2 linked regions of the Macaca mulatta genome follow. The protein of the gene in region 1 purifies or fractionates together with the protein of each later gene. This does not show direct contact. Links are inferred from orthologs where the notes say so. Each region holds a gene or a part of one and is shown on either strand. Other genes may lie near its edges.

Region 1 (4,398 bases):
GGTACTCAATTTTCAAGGCAAAGAAATGCGCCCTGGGGATACCAATTGAATTAAGACAGAATGGCTGTTTTCCAGGTACTAAATCTGAGAGAGATGGGGACACAGAGTTACCGCATGGAGTGATTAGTGCTGTGGAATGAATGAATGAATATGTAAATGAATTCTACTTTGAGTTCCTCCTCCACCTAAAAAGACAATCAGGAATCTAGAAAAATATTTTTTGGAGGAGGTAATATTTGTTTGAAGGGTAATTGGGACTTTTAAAACTTTTTTTTCCGCTCGTTATTACCTGCATTGTTCCAAAAATTGATGTGAGGCCGGGCATATCAATTTTTGGAACAATGGCTCACACCTGTAATCTCAACACTGTGGGAGACCGAGGCAGGAGGATTGCTTGAGCCCAGGAGTTCAAGACTAGCCTGGGTAACATAGCAAGATCCCGTCCCTCTCTCTCTCTCTCTCTCTTTTTTTTTGAGACAGAATCTTCACTCTGTCGCCAGGCTGGAATGCAGTGGCACAATCTCGGCTCACTGCAACCTCCGCCTCCCGAGTTCAAGCGATTCTCGTGCCTCAGCCTCCCAAGTAGCTGGGATTACAGGCGTGAGCTACCAGCGTCCGGCTAATTTTTAAATTTTTAGTAGAGACCGGGTTTCACCATGTTGGCCAGGCTGGTCTTGAACTGCGGATCTCAGGTTATCCGCCCGCCTCGCCTCCCAAAGTGCTGGGATTACAGGCACGCCATCTTTATTTTTAAAAAAAGAAAAGAAAAGAAAAAGAAAAACATAAAAACTGATGTGAAGGTATGATTCTGCTAAGTGGCACTGGAAGATAGGCATGGGGAGAAAAGCCTGGCAAACGGGCCCAGAATGAACCCCAAGGGTGTTCTTCCTCCATTTCCCCATCCCCACTCTCCCGGATGCTTAGATCCCAGATGAGGTTGTCTGCATCCCTGAAGGTGGACTGGCTGTGTTGTTCAAGAAAGATGATGGTCAACTGTACTGTGAAGGTCAGGACCTGGAATTCCTCATGCGCTGCTCCGAGATGTGGCCCAGTCTTCCAAGCGTGTGGCTGGTCTAAAGAAGCCTAAGGGATGCACTAACTCCACAGGCTGTGGCCAGAGCAGGCACACTTAGGGTGGGCGTAGAACAGGGATTTGTAGCTGGGACAGGCCCATGAAGCGACTTCAGATGAATGCACAATATTTTGTGTACAGATAAGAACATTTTCCTGGACAGATTTTATCAGATTTTAAAGGTTAAGAAGCCGTGTTGATCCTAGGGCTCCTGGACTCCTTAGACAAGAGAACCGAGGAGAAGTGGGGAAAGAGCTCAAGTGCTTAACGGAGGGAAAATGTGGCGGGCTTGCGGTGGGTGGTTTCATGGGGACTACAACTCCCAGCGATCCATGCGGTACAGCCAGAGCTTATTGGCCAGTGGAATGAACCCTCTCCTAATGTGCACATTCAAAAACCAATAGACGGGGCCATCTAGGAGATTGCCTATCCCATCAGAGGACCACTCACCTATCAGAGGACAGATATCACCGCCCACCTATCAGAGGACTGAGGGCCGGTGCTTCCGGTGACTGACCAGAGCTGCTTATCTGCGGCGGCGTGAGGTTGGGCGGCCACAGGGACACTGGTGTTTTTGTGAGGCAGTGAGAGCTAAGGTATTTTGTCTCCACTGCTGCCGGGCCTGGCGGGTGTGGGGAGGCTGTAGGGGGTCGGGAGGGAAGTGGACCGGCTCTTGGGGGATGGGGGGCCGGAGGGAGGAGATTCAGGCGTGCAGAGAGGATGAGAAGAATGGGGCGGGCCGCGTGTGCGGGGTCGCGGGATGAGGACCGAGCTGGGGGTGGATGAAACGAGGGAATATGACTGTGACTAGTGAATAACACTCCTGGGAATATGTCCCAAGGAAGTCATCCAAAGTCAGGAAGTGCTTTAAGCCTTAAGACCTCGGTCCCAGCGTTATTTATAGCGGGATAAAGTTGGGTACAGCTAGGAGCAGTTCAGTACATTATGTCACTTCACTGAGTGTATGTGAAGTGGCCTCTAAAACTAATTTATAAAACTTTTAAATAACATGGGGAAATGCTAATATATAATGTTAAGTGAAAAAACCGTGATACAAAGTTGCACAGTATGACTGAAAAAGTTTGACAGCCAAACTATGCATAGAAGAGTCTAGAGGGATGTAGTAATTTTTTTTGGATGAATGTTTTTTCGTTAACTCTTCTTAATTTTTTCCTGTGTATGATTTTTGTTTTCAAATAAGTGTAAAGGACTTGAAATCATTTTATAGTGGAAATACAATAAACTTGGAAAACAAGTGGGGGGAGGGATATACTTTTGTTTAAACCTGCTGGAAATGCCAGTTCACCTGAATCCCTTGATTCTCATCATGAGTTGTCTTTAAAGAAGATGAAAAACACAATTAAATGGTTATATACTGAGCACCGGCTCATGGTTTTCTGACCACCTCTCCGGAGACCTGAACTAATACAGCGGTCTTTTCCCTCCTAAAACACCCAGGGTTCTTGATTTCATGTTCTCCAGAAAACTTACACTCTGGAGATTGTGAAACAATAGGTACACAGTTAGTTTCAGGCAAAATCAGTAGCGTTGGGGAATGCGTGAAGGTCATTTAAACCTTGGTCCTCCTGGCCCTCTGATCTTTAACAGTGAGGTTCTCCACCACCTTGACTTTTAATTGTTAACCCTGAGTCAGTGATTTCCATATCCTTACCTCTGACTGCCTAAGGTACATTGGTACCATGTAGACATCTTACATGAAGCACATGTTAATTTCAATTGGTCACATACTACACACGTTCCTCCCCTACTGCCCCTGCCCACTCCCCCCCCCAGCAGGGTTTCACTCTGTCACCCAGGCTGGAGTGCAGTGGTGTGATCATAGCTTACTGCCTTGAACTCCTGAGCTCAAATCCTCTCAGCCTCCAGAATAACTAGGACTGCAGGTGTGTGACGCTGCACCCAGCTAATTTTTATTTTTATTCTTTTTTTCTTTTTCTTTTTTATGGAACACTTCACAAATTTGCAAGTCATCCCTGTGCAGGGGCCATGCTACTCTCTGTATCATTTCAGTTTTAGTATATGTGCTGCCAAAGTGAGCACCCACCTCATTTTAAAAAATTTTTCTGTAGAATTGGAGTCTCCCTGTGTTGCCTAGGCTGGTCTTGAAATCCTGGCATCAAGTGATACTCTTACCAAAGTGCTGGAATTACAAGTGTTAGCCACTGTGCCTGTCCTGCCCTGCCCTTCCTTTCTCTTTCTTTCTTTCTTTTTTTCTTTTTTTTTTTTGAGATGGAGTCTTGCTCTGTCACCCAGGCTGGAGTGCAGTGGTGCGATCTTGGCTCACTGCAACCTCTGCCTCCTAGGTTCAAGCGATTCTCCTGCTGCAGCCTCCCAAGTAGCTGGAACTACAGGCACGTACCACCACCCCCAGCTAATACTGTATTTTTAGTAGAGACAGGGTTTCACCATGTTGGCAAGGCTGGTCTCAAACTCCTGACCTCAGGTGATCTGCCTGCCTCAGCCTCCCAAAGTGCTGAGATTACAGGCATGAGGCATCGCACCCAGCCTGCCCTGCCTTCCTTGCCTTTGCAACATGCTCTGGTTAATGGTTCAGCAGTTTCTCAAGCTAAAAATCTGGGTGTTATCCTTAATTCTGTTTTCTTCCTCACTACTTATATTCTATCTGATATCACTGTCTGTTCCATCTGCCTTAGAAGCATCTCCTGAATAATGGCCTTCTTTCTCTACTGAAATAGTTGCAAACTTGCTTCACTTTCACTTTGTGGCATTCAAATTACTTGTCAACTTTCTTCCTTCTCAGGTCCATTCTGCATATTGTCACTCGAATATATGCTGGTTCCCCCAAGATTCCAAATTCCCCAGTATGCCCTTTATGATCAGAGAATAAACTTAGAAAGATATATCAATATCTGATAATATAAGACTTTAAATGCCTTGTTAAGACATTTCGAGGCTTTTTTATATGTACTGTAAATGTGGGGATTCATCAAGGGTGTTTATGCAGAAGAGCAAAATGATCACAGCTGTGCTTTTTTTTTTTTTTTTTTTTTTTAAAGATAATTCTACCCAACAACACATAGTATGCAGGCTCATTTGGAAAGTAGAGACTGGTATCAAGGGAACCTCTCCTTGTTTTACCCTAATAAAAAGGGAGAAGTCAGAACCTGGGCTAACACAGGAGTAGAAAGGAATGGAGCAGATTTTTGTAATTATTGCATTTTTGAGAAAAATGTGCCACATTTCTTCTTGTTACTGAAGATGACAATATTAAAATTCATTCTTCTAAAAACCTCAGTAAACTGGCCTCTACAGTGGCTCACGCCTGTAATCCTAGCACTTTGGGA
Region 2 (3,815 bases), on another chromosome or scaffold:
GTGGATCTGGGATCAGAACCCAGGCAATCTGCCTTCATCACTTGTAACTATTGTGGCAGCCCCTTGGCCTTCGTCCCTGCTCCCCATCGCCCAGCTCTGAGGCTAAACAGCTCATAGAGGCTGGGAGACTGAGGTGTGGCGAGGTTCTAGGGTGTACACTCTGGGCAATGTGGGATTCTAAGCCAGGCCTGCCAGAGCAACCTGCCCTCCCTGGCTTCTCGTTCACTGTCTGCCTCGTGGCTAAACCCCTCTCTCCAGTTCCCCCTCCCCAGGGCTCTGCTCAGGTCAGAGCCCAGTCCTTACATGTAGGATGGCACTGAACCCTCTTTCCTGGGGTGGGAGAAGAGCTAGTTTGCCACAGAGCAGGTGTCGGGGACCTAGGGCCAGAGCGGCTTCACCTACCCGGACTGCCTCCTCCCCAGGCATGGCGCAGGCCCTGGGTCCTGACACACCATTCACAGCCATCGCCGGCAGTGAAATCTTCTCCCTGGAGATGAGCAAGACTGAGGCGCTAACGCAGGCCTTCCGGCGGTCCATCGGCGTTCGCATCAAGTAAGCAGGCGACCCGAGGCGGGTGCCAGTCCCCAGAGCCTGGGAGCAACTCCACGCCCCGGGCGGCTTGTCCTTTGTTCCGGAGCTCGGGGAAAGTTGTGATTCCCGAGGGCGCGGGTGTCAGGCTGTCTCCTCAGATCTGCTCTCTGGCTAGGGAGGAGACGGAGATCATCGAAGGGGAGGTGGTGGAGATCCAGATTGATCGACCGGCAACAGGAACGGTGAGTCTGTGTGAGTCCGTACCCTGCTGAGGCCACCTCCAGCGCCAGGGTTGGAGACAGTAGGTGTCAGGTGTGCACGGAGGTCAGAATCCCATGGAATGTTCTAGCTGCAGACTAGAGCCCAAAGTGCTGGGATTACAGGCGTGAGCCACCGTACCTGGCCTTTTTCTTTTCTTTTTTTTTTTCAATTTCTGTTTTCTCCTTTTTGCATAGCTGTGTTTTCTGATTTTGTGATCAACAAAAACAGCTTTTATTTGGGTATAAAATAGGAATGTCAAAGTGTGACCTTTGGCAATTTTGCAGGACTTTGGGCCTATGTTGTTTATAATAGACTTTATTATTTATTTATTTTGAGACAGCATCTCGTTGCCCAGGCTGGAGTGCAGTGGCGTGATCTCGGCTCACTGCAAGCTCTGCCTCCTGGGTTCATGCCACTCTCCCGCCTCAGCCTCCCGAGTAGCTGGACGGACTACAGGTGCCCGCCACCATGCCTGGCTAATTTTTTGGTTTTTTTAGTAGAGACGGGGTTTCACCATGTTAGCCAGGCTGGTCTTAATCTCCTGACCTCGTGATCCACCCGCCTCGGCCTTCCAAAGTGCTGGGATTACAGGTGTGAGCCACTGCACCCGGCCAATAGACTTTATTTTTTAGGCATGTTTTTTGTTTACTATTTTGATTAAGAGTTTTATTGAGTTTTGGCCGGGTGTCGTGGCTCACACCTATAATCCCAGCACTTTGGGAGGCTGAGGTGCGCGGATCACTTGAGGTCAGGAGTTCAAAACCAGCCTGGCCAACATGGTGAAACCCCTTCTCTACTAAAAATACAAAATGGCCAGGCGCGGTGGCTCACGCCTGTAATCCTAGCACTTTGGAGGCTGAGGCAAGCGGATCACCTGAGGTCAGTAGTTCAAGACCAGCCTGACCAACATAGTGAAACCTTGTCTCTACTAAAAATACAAAAAATTAGCTGGGCATGGTGGTGGGCGCCTGTAATCCCAGCTACTCAGGAGGCTAAGGCAGGAGAATTGCTTGAATCCAGGAGGCAGAGGTTGCAGTGAGCCGAGATCGCGCCATCACACTCCAACCTGGGCAACAAGAGTGAAACTCTGTCTCAAAAAACATTAAAAATAATAAAAATACAAAACAATTAGCTGGACATGGTGGCACACATCTGTAATCCCAGCTACTTGGGAGGCTGAGGCAGGAGAACTGCTTGAACCTGGGAGGTGGAGGTTGGAGTGAGCCGAGATTGCACCACTGCACTACAGCCTGGGTGACAGCAAGACACCATCTCAAAAAAAAAAAAAAAAAAAAAAAGCTTTATTGAGTTTTATTTGACATACAAAAAGCTGCACACATTCCAAGTGTCCAGTATGGTCGATTGGGACATACATGTTCACCCGCGGAGCCATCACCACGTCAGACTGGTGAGCACACCATATCTGTTCCCTGAAGAGCTTCCTTGTGTCGTGCCCATTTTGAAGCTGTATAAGCAGAGGCCAGAGTACAGCCAGAAGCTTATCAACACTGGGGGCACTGGGGCAACATCAGGGCCCTCTCTGATCCCCTTCCCTGGCTTGTCCCCACTCTCAGGGCTCCAAGGTGGGCAAACTGACCCTCAAGACCACAGAGATGGAGACCATCTACGACCTGGGCACCAAGATGATTGAGTCCCTGACCAAGGACAAGGTCCAGGCTGGGTGAGCAGTCGGGCCATGCCAGGCAGCCAGGGGAATGGGCGAGCTTGGGCCCCTTCCTTTCCTTACCCCACCCCCCACCCCCTGTAGGGACGTGATCACCATCGACAAGGCGACGGGCAAGATCTCGAAGCTGGGCCGCTCCTTCACACGCGCCCGTGACTACGACGCTATGGGCTCCCAGGTGCGGCCGGGACTCCTGCGATCCCCTCGCCCCCAGCACTGCGGTGTCTTCATCTCCTCCGTCACCCCCGTGACCCATGGGGCCCGGATCTTCCTGTCACCCTGACTTTTTGTCCTGGTACTCCTGGGTCTTCCCTGTAACCCTAGGACAGCTGGGTCCCTCAGCCTGGCACTGTAGCTTCACATCACCACGTGTGGCCTGTGGCTTCTGAGGTCCTCCAGGAGCCCCCATGACCCTTAGCTCTCTGGAACACCCCTAGTCCTGACTACCTCCTGGCCCTGGGGTTTCCGGATGACTCCATTTAGCCTCCCAGCTCCATTTCCTGGAGCTCCAATCTCCCCCAGACAGAGGCCTTTAGGGTCCCCCTTCATGGCCTTCCCTGCCCTGTCTCCTCCCTTCTTCTCCCACCCCTGCCCCATAGACCAAGTTTGTGCAGTGCCCGGATGGGGAGCTCCAGAAACGCAAGGAGGTGGTGCACACCGTGTCCCTGCACGAGATCGATGTCATCAACTCCCGCACCCAGGGCTTCCTGGCGCTCTTCTCAGGTGAGGCCCCTCCTGCCCTGCCCTGCCCCAGGCCTGGCAGCCTCCTTCGGGCTCCCTCTGTTCCTGAGCTCCGAGTGTGGCCCACTTGCTCCACACCCTTTCCTGTAACTCTGGCCCATGGCTGCCTCTGTTCTCCACCTGCAAGTCTGCTTCGTCCCCCCACCGCTGGTGCTGTGATGGGGGTGTCGCCCTGCCCTCTCCCCATCCTGTGTTCTCTGCCTCTGTTCATCCTTTCTGGGGATGTTTCAGTCTCCTCCTCCCTCCTTGCTTTGCTCCCCTTCCTCCACCCCTGCATCATCCTCCTCTGTCTTAGTCACACTCTGGCCCTGGAACCCACCTCCTCTCTGACTTCCCTGATGCAACCTGTGCCTCACATAGGTGACACAGGGGAGATCAAGTCAGAAGTCCGCGAGCAGATCAATGCCAAGGTGGCAGAGTGGCGCGAGGAGGGCAAGGCGGAGATCATCCCTGGAGTGAGGACCTGGGACATGGCCGGGGCAGGTGGCGGGGTGGGAGTGGGCTGGGGAAGCAGGGACGTGGGTGGTGACTCTCACACACACCCCAATCCCAGGTGCTGTTCATTGATGAGGTCCACATGCTGGACATCGAGAGCTTT

The links.
Region 2: the proteins of WDCP (region 1) and RUVBL2 purify together in Homo sapiens (affinity purification with mass spectrometry; 6 studies listed by BioGRID and IntAct, counting the BioPlex papers as one, with this or other methods). This does not show direct contact. The link is inferred for Macaca mulatta from reciprocal best matches to the Homo sapiens genes WDCP and RUVBL2.

The regions. Positions count from the first base shown.
Region 1 is NC_133418.1:100,994,248-100,998,645, forward strand, and holds the start of WDCP (WD repeat and coiled-coil-containing protein), read left to right. Parts: upstream 1-1,590; 5' UTR 1,591-1,668; intron 1,669-3,029; exon of another isoform or gene 3,030-3,133; intron 3,134-4,398.
Region 2 is NC_133424.1:61,464,074-61,467,888, forward strand, and holds part of RUVBL2 (ruvB-like 2), read left to right. Parts: intron 1-422; coding exon 423-552; intron 553-706; coding exon 707-773; coding exon of another isoform or gene 774-791; intron 792-2,366; coding exon 2,367-2,473; intron 2,474-2,560; coding exon 2,561-2,654; intron 2,655-3,075; coding exon 3,076-3,199; intron 3,200-3,577; coding exon 3,578-3,672; intron 3,673-3,770; coding exon 3,771-3,815. UniProt on the Homo sapiens protein: Possesses single-stranded DNA-stimulated ATPase and ATP-dependent DNA helicase (5' to 3') activity; hexamerization is thought to be critical for ATP hydrolysis and adjacent subunits in the ring-like structure contribute to the ATPase activity.